2 linked regions of the Saccharomyces cerevisiae S288C genome follow. Changing the gene in region 1 together with any one later gene gives a genetic interaction. Each region holds a gene or a part of one and is shown on either strand. Other genes may lie near its edges.

Evidence for each region.
Region 2: mutations in SNA3 (region 1) and FRM2 together harm fitness more than expected from each alone (negative genetic interaction), as found in Saccharomyces cerevisiae (one large-scale study listed by BioGRID).

The regions. Positions count from the first base shown.
Region 1 is NC_001142.9:135,040-140,049, forward strand, and holds SNA3 (Sna3p), read right to left. Parts: upstream 1,735-5,010; coding exon 1,333-1,734; downstream 1-1,332. Other genes in the region: inositol-3-phosphate synthase INO1, read right to left, coding at 1-894; SCF ubiquitin ligase complex subunit DAS1, read left to right, coding at 2,340-4,331.
Region 2 is NC_001135.5:73,151-77,285, reverse strand, and holds FRM2 (type II nitroreductase), read left to right. Parts: upstream 1-2,000; coding exon 2,001-2,582; downstream 2,583-4,135. Other genes in the region: amino acid transporter AGP1, read left to right, coding at 1-1,268; HBN1 (putative nitroreductase), read left to right, coding at 3,300-3,881; FUS1 (Fus1p), read right to left, coding at 3,945-4,135. UniProt on the Saccharomyces cerevisiae protein: Type II nitroreductase, able to reduce 4-nitroquinoline N-oxide (4-NQO) into 4-aminoquinoline-N-oxide (4-AQO) via 4-hydroxyaminoquinoline (4-HAQO), using NADH as reductant. involved in the oxidative stress response.

The DNA.
Region 1 (5,010 bases):
CTGCGGTGAACCATTAATATAGGGGACACCTTCCAAGATAGATGCTGCTGCAAAGATCGTGGAAGGAGCAATCTCTTCATGGTCATTCTTAATAGACTGCAAGAGGTTTTCCATGGTGTCATTAACACCAGGAGATACTTCTACGTACCTCTCAGTATTTGCAGTCCAAAGAACGATTACTTTATCAAGGGCGTTTTCTTCTTTGAAATTCTGGATATCGCGTCTGATGCGTTGCAGATGGGTCCACTTACCCCTCGTGGTTACGTTGCCTTTTTCATCCAAATTGATGCAGTTATTGGCTCTCTCATCTTGATTAGCTGCAATGAAATCAGGGTAGTAAATGGAAGGAAGAGGCTTCACCAAGGACATCTTCGCCTTCAAGCGTTGTTGCAGATCATATTCGAGAACTTGACTTCTCTGCATAGCTTCGTATAGATCTGCGTTATTGATGTCCCAACCAGAGACGACAAAGTCGTTTGGGCTAACCATGGGCAACAGAGAGTTAAAAGGAGCATAAACGTCATTCCCCTCCGCATCGATACCCAGTTTCAAGGTAGAACATTGAGTCATGGAGCCGAAGTAGTTTGGTTGCTTAACGCCTTCCTTAGTTTGAAACTCCACATTGTGCTTATTCGCCAATACCGAGGCCACTAAAGTGGAGCCATTGTTGCCACCTAACCCAATGAGCATAATTCCTAGTTTTTCCGGCTTTTTCAAGTCAAGTTTGAACACGTAGTCTTGAACAGTGGGCGTTACATCGAAGCGGCCACTAGCTGTCTTCGTAACTACAGCATTTTCGTAGCTGTACTTGGTGAGCAGCTCGTTGTCCTTGTACGTGCACTTGTCGGTAACTACTTTAACGGAGGTGATTGGAGCAATATTATCTTCTGTCATTGTTACTTCTTTTTCACTGGAAAAAAAAGGGAATGAAACAGAATAAATCAAGGATAAAACTAACATTAGGAACCCGACAACAGAACAAGCCAAAAAAAGGTGACGAAAGCTCCAATTTATATACGTCTCAAATTAACATTGCCGCCAACGCAGAGGTGCGCTTTCTCTGCTCCATGTGAATTAAATAAGTTCAATATTCTGGGAAAGAAGGATGAAGATAAAATAGACAATACTTTTCACATGCCGCATTTAGCCGCCGAAGCGCATACTTGGCCTCCGCATATTTCACATTCAACACTTTCGATTCCGCATCCAACCCCGGAACACCGGCACGTATTTCATAAAAAGGACGTGAAGAACAAAAGGAACGAAGAAAAAGGCAATAATTTACTCTATGTGTTATTTAGAACTACGGTGATAAAGAGCTCGTTCCGATCACTAAGTACGGCCGGAAGAGAGCTGTTGTTTGTTGTCCATCAAGGGCACATCGGCACCGGCCTCATCGTCTTCATCATATGCTGGAGGCTGTGCTTGAGATTCCTCTGCAGGGTGAGCTTCCAGGTCACGGTCTACGGCGGGCGCAGTCGCATGTCTGCGTGAAAGATCGTACGAACGTTCACTACTCGTTTCATATACAACGTAGCAAGCGTGAATGATTGCTGGGAAGAATAACAGTAGGAAGAGAAGTAAGTTCAATAGTGTATCCCTGTTGAACATACCCTTACGCTTCCAGACGGCCACTGGGGGAATGAAAACCGCCAAAACCATTAACAACAAGTCGTCCTTGTTGATGGAATAGCTCATTCGATGGTCATGGTCATTAATATGGTCTCTGTCCATTTCTAAATTATATTTGGTTGTTTGCTTTCTGCTGGGTTTTTATTTTTTAACCTAGCCCCTTTCCTGCAGCTGGCTCATTCGTGCTGTACTCTCTTTCCTTTATATACTAGTGAGACCTTTTCCCCCGTTCCCAAAAAGAAAAAAAAAAAAAAAAAAAGAAAACGAGCCTTCATCACGTGCATTAAAGAAATAGTAATCCCAACGCACTCATCCGCTATATACATAGCGAAAAACTATATGCCCACTTCACAAATACGAGTTTGCATGTATAATATATAAGATTTATAAATGTTGTAGGGTGAATGTAAACGTTCAGTAATATACCGGTATATCTATCAAGATACGATCAATGCAACGCTTTACTGCACTGCACTACACCCCTTTTCCTCTACTTGTTTTTCTTAGTTCCTATTTCCCTCTCAAAATGCACCTGTTCACCAGAGTATTCTTTCTCATTGCAAGTATTACCCTACTTTATCGTCCCACACAAAGAGGAATATATATAGATTATAAGCGAATTGTAGATTTCGATGGAGATCTGATTTCCGTGCAAAATATCCAGGACGTCTATACACAGTGTTTACAACTCAGCTTATATTCATATCATGCCATTTCAAGATTATTTTCAGAAGAAAAAAGCAGCGTTCATTAACAGAAACAATAAAAGTAACGCAGATGCTTCAGCGCTACGAGATATTAACGATATTAACATAAATTTCGCCGCCAAGAGCAAAAACTACGTGTTCCCGCTAACAAAGCTCCCCGATGAGCTCATGCAAGAAGTATTCTCTCATTTGCCGCAACCAGACCGCTTGCAGCTTTGCCTTGTGAACAAAAGGTTGAATAAGATCGCTACCAAACTGCTTTATAGAAGAATATATTTGAACGACTCAAATGTAGTGAAGAGTGACTTCATGCATCTCGCAATTAATTGGACCCTACTGAACTTGCCGTCTTCGTTGAAAGAAGAGGAGTCCCGCGATATCGCCAACTGCAAATTGAAAAAACTTATAGAAACACTGCAAAATAATATTCACATTACTGAAGTCATCCAGTGGATAAGGATCAACTGGGATTTGGACTCTACCTTGCAAAGGTCCATTCTCAGCATCCTTTGCAATCAGGGCAAGTCCTTGCAAAGACTAGAAAACGTCACTGACCCGGCTTGTAACGATATCATCTCCAATGGTCACTTTTCCAGGAGCAACGTCTCAAGTTTCGACATGGCTCCTCCAAATTCATTGCCTGAGATGGTTGTTCCCGAAAATTACATTCCGAATCTCACCAAATATCTTTCACAGCGTATCTCTTCTCGGCTTTCTCATATGACTTTATTCATCGACCCTTTAAAACTGTTCAATTATCTTTACCCTTTAGATATCAAGTTACAAATCATCGATTTAAAATTGCATTGGAGGAGGGAGTTTTACAATAATGATTATTTTGTTAAAAAGATACGACCCGGCAATCCTCTGACTAAACTATCGGAGGTTTTTGACAAGAGGACATTGAAAATTCTTACCATCATTTCTTGGAATGACACTTTGTTAAAACGCGAGACAGAAATGCTGAAAGATTTTAAAGAATTTGAGAACCTGGAAGATTTGTCTTTGATTTCTATTAAGCAGGATGTTCATATCCTCGTAGATCTTTTTAGTTCGTTAACCAATTTGAAAAGACTAAAAATGGATTTCTTAGAGGAGTATGTACCTGAACCCACAAATCCTCACATATTTCTCTCCATTCTTTTAGCTTGCTCCAAATTGCAATTCATAGATCTGAGATACGACGGTCTTATCCCACAAATCATCAATATTCAAGAAAATAAGTTCCAACTAAATCAGCAATGCAACTGCACAAACTGTCAAATAGTATTCAGTGACATTCTGAAGGGCAAAATATTCATGTTCCCTGAAGACTACTATATTCACGATCTTCAAGACATTGCTGCAAAGGATATTTTTAAAATGATGAAATACCTATCTTTGTTACCATACTCTAAAGCTTGTGATGCTTATCCGAGCGTTAGAACACAACCAATGAATTTGACTAATTTTGTGACCAAGATGAACCGCAACCTTTTGGAATATAGAAATTCTAAATCCCAGTTGGTGCCCAAAATCGTTAATAACCCACATCAACACTCCACCGTGACTTCCACATCAACCGCTCATATGAGCGAGCCCGAAATGATAATAATCGATGACGATGATGATGATGATGAAATTAATGCGGCCATTCCTCCAAGTAGTGATGACACAGCAGCTACAATTTCCACTGACCTGGAACTTCCTCATGAATCATTGACCAAAAGAGATATTATTATGTGTTATCACGCTCTTATCCATCACTTCAAGTCGATTTACGTTACTTTTTTGAAAAGTTTTCCTCATTTGAGATTCTTGATGTTGAATGACATTCCCACAATAGTTATGGAGGAGAATAATGAACGTATTTTTGAACCCGTCTTTTATCATTATGATTATAAGAGTAATCTGTATGGATGGTCAAAGGAATCGAACAAGAATCTGGAGAACGACAGCAACAACAACAATAATAATTCTGATACCATTGCAAGAATAGCCACTGTTATGTAATCAACTCCCCTTCAAATATATATATTTAATAATATATATTCAACGCATTTTTTAAGCTAGCAGGATTCAGATTACTGGTCTACTTCATATTAAGGAAATACAAGATCCATTCGGATGCTAGAAAAAAATCAACCAACTATTCCAATGTTGGTAAGCTGGTTTGATAAAGTAAACACAAGATACTACAGTATACGATCACTCAGACATCCTAGGAAGGTCTCTAAAGAAGAGCGGTCACCGAGAGTACTAACGATGGGTTCGTAAGCGTACTCCTACCGTGGAAACTGCGAATGTTAAGGAACCAGTCTTTCATCACCGTGATCATAAATTATATATATTATCTGTCTCCTCAAATTACCCACATTTGATAATCTCATGAGAAAAAATAAAGGCTCAGATCTGCATGTGTTGTATAACACTGGCAAGAAAAGTTCCCGTTTGCAAACACAAATGATTAAAAAAAAATGTCACAGAAGCAACATCTTTTCAAAATCATTCGCATTAAGAGAACGAGATAAAATCCCTTGTCGTCATGGTCGAATCGGACGAGGAAAGAAGAGACACCATTATCATCAGGGCCAATCAATTCTTCTTTTCTGTTTAAAAAAGTGTCATGAAATTTCTCTTGAGATTATTCAAACTTGAATGTATCAAATGGGAAGGAGTGCAATGCTGAAGT
Region 2 (4,135 bases), on another chromosome or scaffold:
GTGTGTGTCCTCTGGAATTGGTGACCGCATCCATGACTATCAAATATTGGACGACATCTGTGAACCCGGATGTGTTCGTCATTATTTTCTATGTTTTGGTGATTACTATTAATATTTTCGGTGCTCGTGGTTATGCAGAAGCTGAGTTCTTCTTCAACTGTTGCAAAATTTTGATGATGACTGGGTTCTTCATTCTTGGTATTATCATCGATGTTGGTGGCGCTGGTAATGATGGTTTTATTGGTGGTAAATACTGGCACGATCCGGGCGCTTTCAATGGTAAACATGCCATTGACAGATTTAAAGGTGTTGCTGCAACATTAGTGACTGCTGCTTTTGCCTTTGGTGGTTCAGAGTTTATTGCCATCACCACTGCAGAACAATCTAATCCAAGAAAGGCCATTCCAGGTGCGGCCAAACAAATGATCTACAGAATCTTATTCCTATTCTTGGCTACCATTATTCTACTGGGTTTCTTGGTGCCATACAATTCCGATCAATTATTGGGTTCTACCGGTGGTGGTACTAAAGCCTCGCCATATGTCATTGCTGTTGCATCCCACGGTGTCCGTGTCGTCCCACACTTCATTAACGCCGTTATTCTACTTTCCGTGCTGTCCATGGCTAACTCCTCCTTCTACTCCAGTGCTCGTTTATTTTTAACTCTATCCGAGCAAGGTTACGCTCCTAAGGTTTTCTCCTACATCGACAGAGCCGGTAGACCATTGATTGCCATGGGTGTTTCTGCATTGTTTGCCGTTATTGCCTTCTGTGCTGCATCTCCCAAGGAAGAACAAGTTTTCACTTGGTTATTGGCCATTTCTGGTTTGTCTCAGCTTTTCACATGGACTGCCATTTGTTTATCCCATCTTAGATTTAGAAGAGCCATGAAAGTCCAAGGGAGATCTCTTGGAGAATTGGGTTTCAAATCTCAAACTGGTGTTTGGGGATCTGCCTACGCTTGCATTATGATGATTTTAATTCTTATTGCCCAATTTTGGGTCGCTATCGCCCCCATTGGTGAAGGTAAGCTGGATGCACAAGCCTTTTTCGAAAACTACTTGGCTATGCCAATCTTGATTGCACTTTATGTCGGCTACAAGGTCTGGCACAAGGATTGGAAACTGTTCATCAGGGCAGACAAGATCGACCTAGATTCTCATAGACAAATCTTTGATGAAGAATTAATCAAGCAAGAAGACGAAGAATATAGGGAACGTTTGAGGAACGGACCTTATTGGAAAAGGGTCGTTGCCTTCTGGTGTTAAAAAAAAAAGCATTTACTTCTTTTATATTTATTCATTTTTGTACTTCTGTTTTGTAGTAATAGCATACGTGTAATGATAGACGATTTTCATTTTAATTCTAGTCCTTTATGAGCGAAGAAAAAAAATAAAAAGCACTAACGATTGCGTGATGGAAGTGGAGAGGAAAATATAAGTGAAATAATATGAAGTGAGAGAAAAATGATTTCCTTTTGTTCTTAATGCAACAGAAGAGGTTTGATTTCATCCGCATATGCAATTTTGCCTTAGTAGGGGTGCAACCGTTTTCGTCGTGCATCAGGAACGATCTTCTTGCCTTTTTTAAAAATCTACGTTAAGAATTTTTAATTTTGTTAAGGTGTAATTAGCATTAGAATGACTGAAGCATTCAGTTTAACCAACTTGTTCTGCGATATTTTTACTTCTGAAATAACAATGTCTGCGAGTGTTACTTGATTATTAATCAATATTTGTCAATGCTCTTCCGAATAATTTTTCAATTTGTCAGCTTTGCTCTGCGCTTTTCCTTACTGCGACAATAAATGGCAAAGGAAAAAAAAATACAGTGTCATTTGCAGATATGACACACTTTAACACCTGAGTGGGTCATCACTACTTTGTGTTTGTCTCCACCCATGTTGTGATCGAAGAGAGATATAAAGGTTGATCATTTTTGGTTTTTTAAAGCTATATACACCATCAAAATCAAGAACACCAGACCTCCAAGCCAAAGAAATGTCCCCAACTGGAAACTACTTAAACGCTATTACAAACCGTCGTACCATCTACAATTTGAAGCCCGAATTACCACAAGGTGTCGGTTTGGATGATGTAAAGAGAACTGTACACGTTATTCTCAAGAATACGCCAACAGCTTTTAACTCACAAGTGAATCGCGCTGTCATTATCGTTGGTGATACACACAAAAGGATATGGGATGCTGTTGCGAGCGCAATGCCAACTGCTGAAGCCAAGAAGAGACCAGAGTCTTGCAGAGATGAGGCTTACGGTTCAGTCATTTTCTTCACTGATGAAGGACCAACTGAAAAACTGCAAAGAGATTTTCCAGCCTTGGCAGCCGCTTTCCCAACATGCGCCGCTCATACGACCGGTGCTGTGCAAATTCAGTCTTGGACTGCCCTCGAACTATTGGGATTGGGGGCTAATTTGCAACACTATAATGACTACGTCAAATCTGCTTTGCCTCAAGATGTTCCTATTGCGTGGACTGTACAATCTCAATTGGTCTTTGGTGTTCCAACTGCCTTGCCAGAAGAAAAGACTTTTATCAATAACGTAATCAACGTTTATCACTGAACAGGAAATTCGCATATGAGGAGATCTTAATTTATCTCATGAAGTAATGATACCTCAGCGATGTGCTCGCTCGTTAGTATGCTTCATAAATTCATTATTATTTTTTTTTGGAAGTGTTTTTCGACAAAAGTTGCATTTTTACGAAGGATATGTAAACTCAAGAAGTACTAAATAAATATAAATACAATTCGAAAATTTGAAAAAAGTAGGAGACAACACTTTCCTTCCTCACGAAGAAGTTAAGCTTGGGTTTGTGACTTACTAACGTCAACGTACAATCGCGTTACAAACAAGATGCTTGCATTCTTACCTTACATTACAAGGACTTAGACGAAGAAAAAGTTCAGAAACACTGCTTACACTATTCACCAGACCCGCTCCTTCTCCTAACATCAATAACGAACAGCACTATTGATGTAAGAACGTCTTAGCTTAGTAATAAAGCTCTACCTTGTTATCGTACAATAATCCAGTATACCGCTTTTACTAATGATTATTCGAGAAAAATCGGACTGTGGCGTTTTACGTGAAAATTACGTAAAGAAAAAGATCCTGGGGTGCCTCGAGCTTTTCGGGCTAGGGTCTTGGCATTTGCACCTTGTCCAAACTACAGTATATAAGGACACCATACTGAAGGAACTGACTACATAATTTGTACTTTTTTCGTAGACTGAAGTATCCTATATCAACATATATACAAAAAAACAATCCAATATCATGTCTGCTGTTGCAACTTATTTGAAAACTTTAACTGCTCGTCGTACTATTTACGCTTTGAAACCGGAGTTACCTGGTGAAATTACTATCAACGACATCCAATCCGTCGTCCAAACCATCATTAAAGAAACACCCACCGCTTTCAACTCCCAGCCAAATCGCGCTGTTATCTTGACTGGTGAAACTCACAAAAAAGTTTGGGACGAAGTGACTAAGGCTATAGAAAGCCCTGCCGGTCAAAAGAGGCCTGCTTCAGCAAGGGATGAGGCCTTTGGTTCTGTAATCTTCTTCACCGACGACAAGGTAACTGAAAAGCTAAAGGCTGACTTCCCAGCGTACGCAGCTGCATTCCCTAGTTTCGCGGACCATACCTCTGGTGCCGCTCAAATCAACTCGTGGGTTGCCTTGGAGGCAATGGGCCTGGGTGGTCACCTACAACACTACAATGGTTACATAAAAGCTGCTTTGCCAAGCAAAATCCCTGAGTCTTGGACCGTACAAGCTCAATTAGTCTTCGGTACCCCAGCCGCACCTCCAGGTGAAAAGACCTACATCAAAAACGATGTTGAAATCTTCAATTAAGGAACAGTATATAAGTACAGAATTATAGGTATAGATTAAATGCGAACGTCAATATTATTTTCATCAGTCGTATTCTTGGAGACAGTCACCAGGCACAATGCCTCTATCTTCATTGAGGTATCTTTTATCGTCAACACTGACGTGAATAGAACCCTTTTGTGTATTACACTTTTCTACCAGACACCATCCATCGGTATGAGTGGCCAGAATTTTAACTTTTTCACCCAGCGAGATTCTTATTTCGTCTGTCAATC